Linked DNA regions of Xenopus tropicalis. The protein of the gene in region 1 binds, or shares a complex with, the protein of each later gene. Links are inferred from orthologs where the notes say so. Each region holds a gene or a part of one and is shown in the gene's direction. Other genes may lie near its edges.

Region 1 (3,757 bases):
AACTAAGATATAATTAATCCTTACTGGATGCAAAATAATCCTATTGGGTCTAATTAATGTTTTATTGATTTGTTAGCAGACTTAAGGTATGAAGATCCAAATTACGCAAAAACCCCTTATTTGGAATACCCTTGGTCCCGAGCATTCTGGATAATACCTGTACTTCCTAATTCTGGGCTGCTCTCTTTCCTATGGGAACGATATGGTCCTGACTAACTTACCTTTCTCTGACAATGGAAAAGACTTCAGCTAATTAAGTGGTACAAGGAATAAGAGCTAGTTATGGCTAATGATAATGGAGCCACTCCCTGATCATCTCCTGTCTGTCCCTCAATATGTAAAACGTCTTACTAAAACACACGCCAGATTTGTTGCTTTTTTAATGAGAGGGAGGGTTTGTCTGTAAAAATACCATAATTATATTTATATATATATAGATATATAACACGCATGGATTCAGCACTCCTGAGCGTAGTCAATGGACCCGGGTGCAACCAACTGAGCATTGAAAAAAAGAAAATATAGTGTATATTGGTGCACACCGGGAATCATTTAAAACATAACTTTTATTAAATAGTTAATACATTACAGATCAGGCTAACGTTTCGGTCTGCATCTAAGACTTTTATCAAGAGGAAGTCTTAGATGCAGACCGAAATGTTAGACTGATCTTTAATGTATTAACTATTTAATAAAAGTTATGTTTTAAATGATTCCCGGTGTGCACCAATATACGCTAGGTTTTACATATATATATATATATATATATATATATATATATAGGACAAGCACACCATTTCACTGCAATTCTTCTATTTATTCATTCACACACACACACACACACACACACACACGGTGAATGAATAAATAGAAGAATTGCTGTGAAATGAAGTGCTGGTCCTGTTTATAGGTATTTACATATTTTGACTTCAGCACTCACCAGTTAAACTGGTTTAGAGTGCGGACACAGCTTGACTTATATATATATATATATATAGATATATATATATAAACTTTCTTCATTTCATAATTTCATATTACTGGCTGATATGGGCTGAACAGCCTGAAACCTTCTAGTAATCCTCTACTGGCCAATAATGAAAGGGGGAACTGCCTGACACCTTCACCCACAATTCACTGCACCCATGGCACCTGCCCTGTCCCCACTGTGTTTAAAATAAAAAAGATGCTCTTTAGAGAGGAGTTGTGAGAATGTGGATATGTATGGTCAGATTCTGAGTGAAAACAAATGTGCTGCTCCCTCATTTTGTCATTTTGTGGCACCTTTATACCGGCACCTACACCAGTCACCTGCAAGCATCCCCCTCAAAGGCAGCAGAGTGAGCGCTGTGGGGGATTATTGGAAGGAGTTCTCTCTCTTTCTCTATAGCCTGTGCAGTTGTTCACAGCTGAACTATGTAGGAGGTGTGGTTTTGGCACCCTCTTCACGGAGGAAGTGGCAAAGCAGAGGAAAACTACAGACAGCAGGATTAAAAATAAAACCAAGGAGGAATTGGGAGGAGGAGGAGTTGGCAGAAGGATTGAGCAGGAGGGGAAGAGGCCATGATCCGGATAATGATCTCATGGCCCGGCTGCCAGTGAGAGTTGCAGCCCCTGTGAGTGACGGCGTGTCTGCAGCACTGACAGGCGGGCACGGGTTGGTCAAAAGGTGGCACTGACCAGTTACCTCAGCAGCAGCATTATCCGCTCCTCATCCCGTCAGGGTGACAGACTGCAGGGACAGGGACATAAAGCGAAGTAGAAGGACTAAAAGCAGCGGTTCAAGCTCTGGCTCTTCGGTAAGGGGTGAAGGTAAGAAAGGCTTGCTTTACCTTTTGTTATTAATCTGCTCAGCCTTAACCCCATCCTCCCCAGGTGGGTATTGTGTTTGCCTTGTAGTCTCTGGCAGCTTCCACATTTCAGACAGTTTATTTGTTTTTCAGCAGTCCTTTAACCCTTTCACATTAAGTAAGGTGTTTTCAGACCTTTACTTGTGGGTCACAATAGGGACACGCAGTCATTTAAAGCCTGGCATGGTGCCCTGCACAGAGGGAGGGGGCATGGAGTGTAAGAACATAAGGAAATCTGCTTTGGGCATCAAAGCCGGGAAGGCAGTGCTGCAGGCTGCTCTAGTTCTCTGAGCTTTACAGCTGCTCATCCCCTTTCTCTTCTTTTTGGCAATGAAGTTTCAGTGAGGTGACAAGCAACTTAGCAGTTTCATTCTCCACATTATTCTCATTGTTTTATCAGTGTAGACCTGAGGCAGCAGAATTAATAGCATCTGCACCTTTACCTAGGATTAGCTCTGTGTGCTTCTGAAAGAATGCTCTTATACTGTATATTTATACATTTTATTTCAGTTAAAGGGGTAGTTCACCTTTAAATTAACTTTTAATATGTTGTAGACATTGATATTCTGAGACAATCTGGACAATCATTGGTTTTTCAGTTATTTAGCTTTTTGTTCAGCATCTCTCCATTTGGTATTATAGCAGCTATCTGGTTGCTAGGGTCTTATTTACCCTAGCAACCAGGCAGTGGTTTAAACAAGAGATGGGGACATGAATAGTAGAGGACCTGCATAGAAAGATAAGTAATAAAAAGTAACAATAATAATAAAATTGTAGCCTCACAGAGCAATCGTTTTTGGCTGCTGGGATCAGTGACCCCCATTTAAAAGCTGGAATAAGGCAGATGAGAAAGGCAAATAATTCAAAAACTATAAAAAATAAACAAATTGCAGAGCTGCTAGGAATAGGGCATTCTGTAAAATTCTAAGAGTTAACTTAAAGGTGAACCACCCCTTTAACCATGTATATGGAAAAGATTGTTCTCTTAATGTGAACTGTTAAGGTGCCCATACATTGGCCGATTGTAGCTGCCGTCGGCAGCTTATTGGCCTGTGTAGGGGCAGCAACGACGGCCATGCCCGACCGATATCTGGCCTGAAATTGGGCAGATATCGTTTGGGCAGGTTAGAAAATTTAGTCGGATCGGGAACCACATCGGAACCCAATGCGCCCTTTGCCATCGTTATAATTCGATCGCTTGGCCCCCATAAATTTGCCCAATATTGCCCACCTGTAGGTGGGGATATCGGGAAAAGATCCGCTCACTTGGCGGCCTCGCCAAGCAAGTAGATCTTAATGTGTATGGCCACCTTTAGACTTGTGTATGTTGTACAAAGGTGAACAACCCATTTAAGTTTCATGACCCAAATATTAGAAAAAGACTGATAAAATATTTCATGAACACATAGCCAAGAGAAAGCCCATTTACTCTAAAATGCAATGGCAACACAGTTAGGTTGACTATGTTGTATCTGAAAGGATCACAAGATTTCTGGAAAAATCATCCTCCGGACAATTAATAGTTTGTCCTAATGCACAAAATCCTGTCTTTCCAAGATGAAAAACAACATAACACAAGAACCTCATACAAACTGCCAAGACACAAAACCTGCACATTTCACAGGCAATGAGTCCACTATGAATTTCTCTTCATACCAGAGAATTATAGAGCAAAATGTGGTGCTATCTGACAGTACACCTACAAATTTACACCTAAATGGCTATGGGATATATTTATCATGCTGTGTAAAAAGTGGAGTAAAACATTGCCGCTGATGTTGCTCATAGCAGCCAATCAGATGCTTTGCTTTGATTTTCTAACTGTTGAAATCTAATTGCTGATTGGTTGCCCTGGGCAACAATCACCGGAAATACTTCACTCCACTTTTTACACAGCATGATATATA
Region 2 (3,657 bases), on another chromosome or scaffold:
GCTTGGGAGCAACATGTTACTCACTAACCCCTTGGATGTTGCTCACAGTCCCCCCAAAGCACATACTTGTTTTTGAATTTCTGTTTTGGAGGCCTTTTGTACTGCCAAACAGAGTCACCTGTAGGCTGCTAGTACAAATTGGGCTACCAAATAACCAAGCACAGCCCTTATTTGACAGTTACTAGAAATTTATTTCATGCATGTGTTGCTCCCCAACTGTTTTTTTTTTTTTTTTTTTTTTTTTATATTTAAATGTGGTTCACTGCTAAAAAAAAAAAAGGTTACCCCTGCCTTCATGAATATGCAGAACATGGTAGATGAGGGAGAAAAATAGTGTTGGGTGGAACAAGCAAGAAGACCGATGTAGATTTTAATATACAGTTGTATAAAATGAACAGTATAATGCACGGTGTGTGTCTCTCAAATAATGTATATCAAACAGTGTCAGTTCTTGTGTAATGAAACCTTATTCTATATTTATTCTGTGCAGAGACCTGGAATGCTTCCAGGTAGCCGAATGACTCCTCAGGGACCAGCAATGGGCCCCCCTGGTTATGGTGGAAGTCCAGCTGCTCGGCCAGGCATGGCCCAATCAGGCATGGACCAGTCTCGGAAACGTCCTGCACCCCAGCAAATACAGCAGGTGCAACAACAGGCTGCTCAGAATAGGAACCATAGGTAATGTTTTGATTTGAATTAGCAGTTCCTGCTTTAGAAGGACCTATATATCTCCAAAACTGCTTAAGTTGGTTTCTCAAAATACATGGCTCACTAGCATAGCTGCAGCTTAAAGTTAAATGGCTTATTTGAAGTATTCTGTACTGTAGTTTTTAAATGCCACATGGACATATGTGCCCAACCCCCTCATGTATGGCCACTTTTAGGGTAAGAACCAACGGAGCAGTTCGGTTGCCCGCAATAGAACGCTATCACGGGCGACTACCACTCCGAAATGGCTTTCCACTGGCAACAATAGGAGTATTCCAAAGTCGTGCAAAGTTTCTTCCTGCAGGCAAGATCAATTGTGGATTACTAAACCACTACGTGAGTTCTTACCCTCAGTGTACAGTGCAGATTGGGGCACATTAATGATTCCAGTGGAATTTAGTTCTCCGCACTGTTGCTTCAGACCGACTTAGCAGCCATCCCGGCAGCCAGCCTGCCTGATAATCAGCTGGTTATCTATCAGGCAGAAAAATCCTATCAGATGTGGTTCTCTCCCTGCAGATTTCCATAGGCCTTAAGGTGGCCACACATGTGGCGATCTGCCACTAACCTTCAGGGCTGAAAGAGGCAGATAAGGAGGTAGAAACAATAGGATTTCTACCTCCTTCTGCCGATTCAGCGCTGAAGGCAGATTTTGGTCAGGCGCCTTCTATGGCGCCCAACCAAAATCTTTTAACTGGCCCGATCGGTGAGTCGACCGATATCAGCAGCTTCGACTCGCCAACTTGCCATACACGCACCGAATATCATGTGAATCGGTGCGTGTATGGCCAGCTTTAAATGTTCTTACTGTCGGCCATTTGCAGAGCAAATGGATAGCCAAAAAGCATATCTTCCCATGTGTGCCAATGTAGTTGAACAAATGGTTGTATGTAATAGGCTTAGCTAATATATCCTCTTTTAGAGGCTTAAAGTGGATCCATAAATGAGTAAAAGTTATTGTTCTTTTCTTCATACAGTGCTAAAAAGAAGAAAATGGCTGATAAGATACTACCTCAGAGGGTAAGTACTCGAGAAGATGGCACCATAGTTATTTAACTTTTTTCTATTTTTTTAATCGACAATATATATATATATTATTTTCTATTCCTACAGATAAGGGAACTGGTACCCGAATCTCAGGCTTACATGGATCTGTTAGCGTTCGAGAGAAAGCTGGATCAAACAATCATGAGGAAACGGCTTGATATTCAGGAGGCTTTGAAGAGACCAATAAAGGTATTCTGGACAGAAATTCTTTAAGTTCAAAGTGGAATTTTTAATTATATTTTCTTCTTTGACATTATCTGTTCTTATACAAATTTCTTAATTTTTAGCAAAAGAGAAAACTTCGGATCTTCATTTCAAATACTTTCAACCCTGCAAAATCAGATGCTGAAGATGGAGAGGGAACTGTTGCCTCATGGGAGCTGCGGGTGGAGGGCCGTCTCCTTGAGGATGTGAGTACTGAGCAACAAAAATGTTTCCATTGATTACTTAATGACAACCCCCCCCGTCCTTTTATATAACAGTCACAGGTTGGATTCTGTAGAGTAGGTCTGTCCAACCGGAGGCCTGTGGGCAGGATGTGACCTTCCAAAGGATTTCTATGTCCCTTTGTCTCTAAATATGACATTTTTATTTAATCTGACCCTGGTATTTTTGGGCCAATCTTAGCTTCTCCTCAGCTACGTGTAGCTTCATGCATGCTGAAGCTGTGATGTACCAATGACCAATGTAGCTACTAGGGATTATTATTATTATTATTATTATTATTAACATTTATTTATAAAGCACCAACATATTCCGCAGCGCTGTACAATAAGTGGGTTTCATACATTGGACATACAGAGTAACATATAAAGCAATCAATAACCGATACAAGAGGTGAAGAGCTTCCAAAAGAGCTTACAATCTACAAGGGATGCACCAAACCCTGTTTTTTGGGTTCAGCTGAACCCTGAATCCATGGTGAGGGATTCGGCTGAATTTCGGTTCATTCATATGCCTGCTGTAGGGCCCTCTATCACAACTGCACAATTCCCGCCTGCACCCCCTTACAGGTGATCGTGTCCCCCCCCCCCCCCCGAGCTGTTTGTAACTTCTGACAGCAGCCGCTGTGCGGCTTATAAAGAACGTTTGGCTCTGTGCTCATTGTGGCTAGAGAACAACAGAGCCGAACATTCCTTGTAAGCAGCATAACGGCTGCTGTCAAGTTACGAACAGCTCTCAGGGGGAAGCAGGACAGAACGGCTCTTGCAGGGGAAGCAGGGTACGGCACATCGGTGGGCAGGCAAGGTGGGGGAAGCAGGACACAACAGCTCTTGCAGGGCATTAGCATATGCTAATTGGGATTCGGTTCAGCCAGGACCGTTGATTCGGCCGAATTCGAATCCATCCGAAAAAGGCCTAATCCTGGCCGAATACCGAACCGAATCCTGGATTTGGTGCATCCCTAGTAGTTACAGGGCAATGTGTATTAGAGCGGTCCCCTTCTCTCCCTGTCTGACTGACCAGGGCCTTAGCTGTTAGGGCTAAGAGACATGGAGCTACTTAGTAGCAGCTACTTGTCAACGGCCTAAAAATGCCAGAAAATACCCTGCCACGGACAATACTCAGAGCAAAGCTGACCCGGGGACTGGTCTGATTGTCATATTGGAATAAAGAAGGATTTTTCCCCTCTGGTTTCACCTGTAGAAAAATGTGTGTGTTTGGTGTTTTGTTTTTGTTTTTTACCTCATCTGCTATGTTATTACGTTAATACTTTAGACCAGTCAACAGGCTACAGCATATAGTCATATTGGTGCTCCACAGGCGTTAGGAGACTCTTTACTGACTGCTTTATGAATCCCTCAAAACTGGTTAATAAGACCCATACTTATTATTCTTTTCAAAGTAATTATTTCCTTTTAAAGTAATTAATCTGAAAGATAAAAGTTTTATTGACAAGAC
Region 3 (3,657 bases), on another chromosome or scaffold:
GAAAACAAACACATTAGCATTATCTGCAAATACTGATTGCAATAAATAGTTTATCTTTTCTGGAGGGATCAGGTTTGTTATAAGCTCAGAAATGAGTTATATGCCATTCCATATCACACCCAATGCTTCCTAAACACAACTACGAGAGGCACCATCACACTTACTTTTTACTGTTGCAGTGTTGATCCCAACAAGAGAATGGTTTGCCAGACACCTATATTGCCACTAACAGTGGAGTTCACCAAAACTTCATTTTGGCATTATGTAGGCAGTGGCATTCTAAAGCAATACTGGAATGGATCTCTATTTGTTTCATTTATAAGATTTAAATATCTTAAATTAAATGGTACTGGAATATTGTGTTTTGCAGGAATGGCTCCAGGGCAGTTATATACTTACCCTGCACGATGTTGGAGGAAAAAGCGGCGTTTACACCCCCCAGAAGATCCGAGGTTGAGACTATTGGAAATAAAATCAGGTTTGCAACAGCCTTACACAAGTGCTTTACAAGTGAATTATGTTATTGTTTTGATTTTATGAAACCCTGAATCCCCTTATTAGAATTAGAGAGCTGTATTGTCCCCTGAGCTCAGAATTCTAATACACTTGGTTTTGTTAAGTGTTTGTGGATTTTGAAGTGATCCCTTTGGTCTCAGCTAATGTGACACTGCAGGAGGAATGTACAAGGCAACACAGCAGTTATCTCAATGATCAGACAGGCAGAAATGCCTTCCTGCACTGGGTAATCTCACAGCCAGTTACACACATGGATACTGAGGGGCAAATTTAATATCCTCACTGAGTGGATTTCAGTATATAATTGCAGTATGCAGTTACACTCCCAAATCCACTTTGTCAATAAGCTTTTTGTAGCGTAAGGGTATATTCTCCATCAACCGCAGGCTAAGAATCCACCCCATGGTGCAGGAGCCTAAAAGTTTTTGATGACTTGATGCATTTATCAAAGTTGATACCTGTGTCAGTTCATCAGAATGTGTCCAACTGCTTAGAGCAGTCAAATGTCATTTTGCCTTATGGAGTGTTAGTGCTCAGCAGCGCTGTGCGTGGTCACCTGCTCATATCCTTGCTTCCCAGTGTAACTTGCATGTGGGGAAATAACATTGGGACAATTATGTTGCCTTGGAATGAATCATTCCAGCACAGAACATAAATTGTTAAATCCTAAAATGTAACTATCATTACTCTTCACTAAAATGTACCAACATTTAATAAATTCTTCTCTTAATATGTAACTTATGACTTTTACACAAAATGGTCAACTACATTGTGGTACTAATTTGCTGCGGAAACCTGAAGTGGCAGATGATGGGAGACCGGGGGGAAAGCTCCAAAATTGGGTAACTCCTGAAATAATAGGGGGAGTTACATAATATGAATTTCTTAGGAAAAAGAAGGGGAACAATGTTTTATGGCTACAAAACACATAATTGGTTGCCAACAGTCTTTTGTAGGCTCTGGGAAATAAACATATTCTTTTCAATAGTTTTTATTTAAAAAAAAAGAAAAAAAAAAAGTATATAGGTAGATTTAAGCTGCGGATTTGGGCCAATCAGGCCGAGTCAATAGCTTGTATGCCCATGCATGGGCAGATCATTGGGCTCGTTGATGCGGGCCTCACTCTGACAGCCTACATACTGGCTCTATAGTGCGATTGTTTGGCAATATGCCTGATATCGCTTACCTGAAAATAGGTATATTCAGGAAAGATCCACTCATTTTGTCAAATGGGCATATCTTTAGTGTATGGCCACCTTAAGTCTTTAAAAAACAGATTTGATAGCAGTGCAGTCATACAAAATGTGGAGTACACCACCTTGCACCATATATTCTACTAATTACAACTCTTTGTTAATGATCTTTCAGCCAGTTCTCTATTCATGTACAAATAGCACCATCAAGAGCAACTTTCCGCCATTTCTCTATTCATGCACCACTAAGAGCAACAGCTCTTAGTTTAGAAAGCAGATATTTATGTATCACAAGCCTTGGCAATGTAAGGAATACAAAACCACTGTGCAACTTTCTACCTAACATAAAATGCAAGTTGATTTGTTTTAAGGGAATCTGTCTCTTAAATTTCATTCTCCAAAATATAATATTGAAGGAAGGTAAAAAAAACATCTGAAGCCATGTCTAATTTGCCTTCGATGGAAAAGGCCATTCCTTATTCCAAAAAAGCAAATGGACCAGCACTGAAGGTACTGTAATCAAAATTATTTGAATGAAATATGTTTCAGATATATAGCTAGCAATAACAGAATGAGGAAATCAACCTGAAATTGGCTGATTTTTGCATCTGCAGTGTTTGTGCAGTTTAAATGCAAATGGAAGCTTTAGTTTGTTGTAGCTGGGCAGCAGCTGGAGTTGCAGAGTGGGGAAAATCCTGCCCGTACCCTGGATACTTATAGAAGAGGACAGTGGCCCAAGTATTCGTTATACTACATGCGCAGGGGCAGATAATAATGAAATGTTGCTGTTATCCAAACACATCCGTAGAACAGATTTATTTATCCAAACATCCTTCAGTTTATTAGAATTCTATGCAGTCAATCTGCTCCAAGGTCTTGTAGTAATCTGGAATGTGAAGAAGACTGGTTTCATATACCAGAGCCTTTTGAGCAAAGCCTTTTTCAAAGGATATTAGAATAGGATATATATAAATTGCAGTTGAGTTAAGCAGTATTTGCTTTGTTCTACAAGCAGGATCACCTTGATAGGTTTTCTTTAGAGTTGCCTACCAGAGGCTTTCTGGGGGTGACGCCCTTGGCTAGGGCTGTTATGATTATGGATCTATTTCTGAGATCATAATTTAACTACTGCCGGTGTCCTGGCACAAATATACTTATATAACATGTTGAAAATGCTAATGGTATCTGTTTCTGGATCTTTAAGACTTATATACCCTAAGGGCCAAACATGAATTAAAACAACCCCATAGCAGCAACCCTGCTCTAGGCTCTCTTAATCAATTGCTTTAATAATACTTTGTACAATGAGCTAGTACATCATTCAAGGAATAATTAGAGACCTCAGTTAGAAGATATATCTTTAGACTGTCAGCCTCATGATGCAGTACCTGGGCTTGATTTATGGATGTTTCAGTGTCGCTGCCTGGGCTTAATGGGTTTAATGAGTAGAGTGGGGTTCCATCTGTGCAGTCAGTTTAACTGAATGAGTGCCAGTTCTGTGTGTAATCCTCCTACTGTCTTGACAATAGCCAAGGTTAACCTGCCTGTGAGATGAAGGGTTAGCTCTGTAATTGCCAATTCACCCACATAATTTCTTCATGTATTTTATTTCCCCATCGCATTAATTTGGGAAACATGCCTCTGTCTGTGCTACTTTGTTGCTTAGACAGATTTTCTAGCTTTTAATGGCTATTACATTTGACTGCTATTACACATGTGTATACAAAGCACAGAGATTCATGGAACACTTGCAGCATTTGACAAATGACCTGCCGGAGCTGTCGGCTGTACCATCATTTTAGGGCAAAATTATAATTATATTTTGTATTGTGGCAATGCCTGTTAAAACCTGCAGTGACAAGACACCCAGCACTAGTCATCTTTAAAAAACACTGGCCATTTGCCCCTCTTATCACGCAAGGCTTGTTAGCAAGTCAAAGCAAGGTAT

The links. The genes of interacting proteins can lie anywhere in the genome.
Region 2: smarca2 (region 1) and smarcd1 share a complex: the UniProt entries of both Homo sapiens proteins name them as parts of the BAF complex. The link is inferred for Xenopus tropicalis from reciprocal best matches to the Homo sapiens genes SMARCA2 and SMARCD1.
Region 3: smarca2 (region 1) and dpf3 share a complex: the UniProt entries of both Homo sapiens proteins name them as parts of the BAF complex. The link is inferred for Xenopus tropicalis from reciprocal best matches to the Homo sapiens genes SMARCA2 and DPF3.

What each region holds. Positions count from the first base shown.
Region 1 is NC_030677.2:128,297,432-128,301,188, reverse strand, and holds the start of smarca2 (probable global transcription activator SNF2L2), read left to right. Parts: upstream 1-1,551; 5' UTR 1,552-1,812; intron 1,813-3,757. UniProt on the Homo sapiens protein: ATPase involved in transcriptional activation and repression of select genes by chromatin remodeling (alteration of DNA-nucleosome topology).
Region 2 is NC_030678.2:148,804,942-148,808,598, forward strand, and holds part of smarcd1 (SWI/SNF-related matrix-associated actin-dependent regulator of chromatin subfamily D member 1), read left to right. Parts: intron 1-490; coding exon 491-678; intron 679-1,685; coding exon 1,686-1,728; intron 1,729-1,821; coding exon 1,822-1,944; intron 1,945-2,042; coding exon 2,043-2,165; intron 2,166-3,657. UniProt on the Homo sapiens protein: Involved in transcriptional activation and repression of select genes by chromatin remodeling (alteration of DNA-nucleosome topology).
Region 3 is NC_030684.2:106,432,516-106,436,172, forward strand, and holds part of dpf3 (zinc finger protein DPF3), read left to right. Parts: intron 1-370; coding exon 371-478; intron 479-3,657. UniProt on the Homo sapiens protein: Belongs to the neuron-specific chromatin remodeling complex (nBAF complex).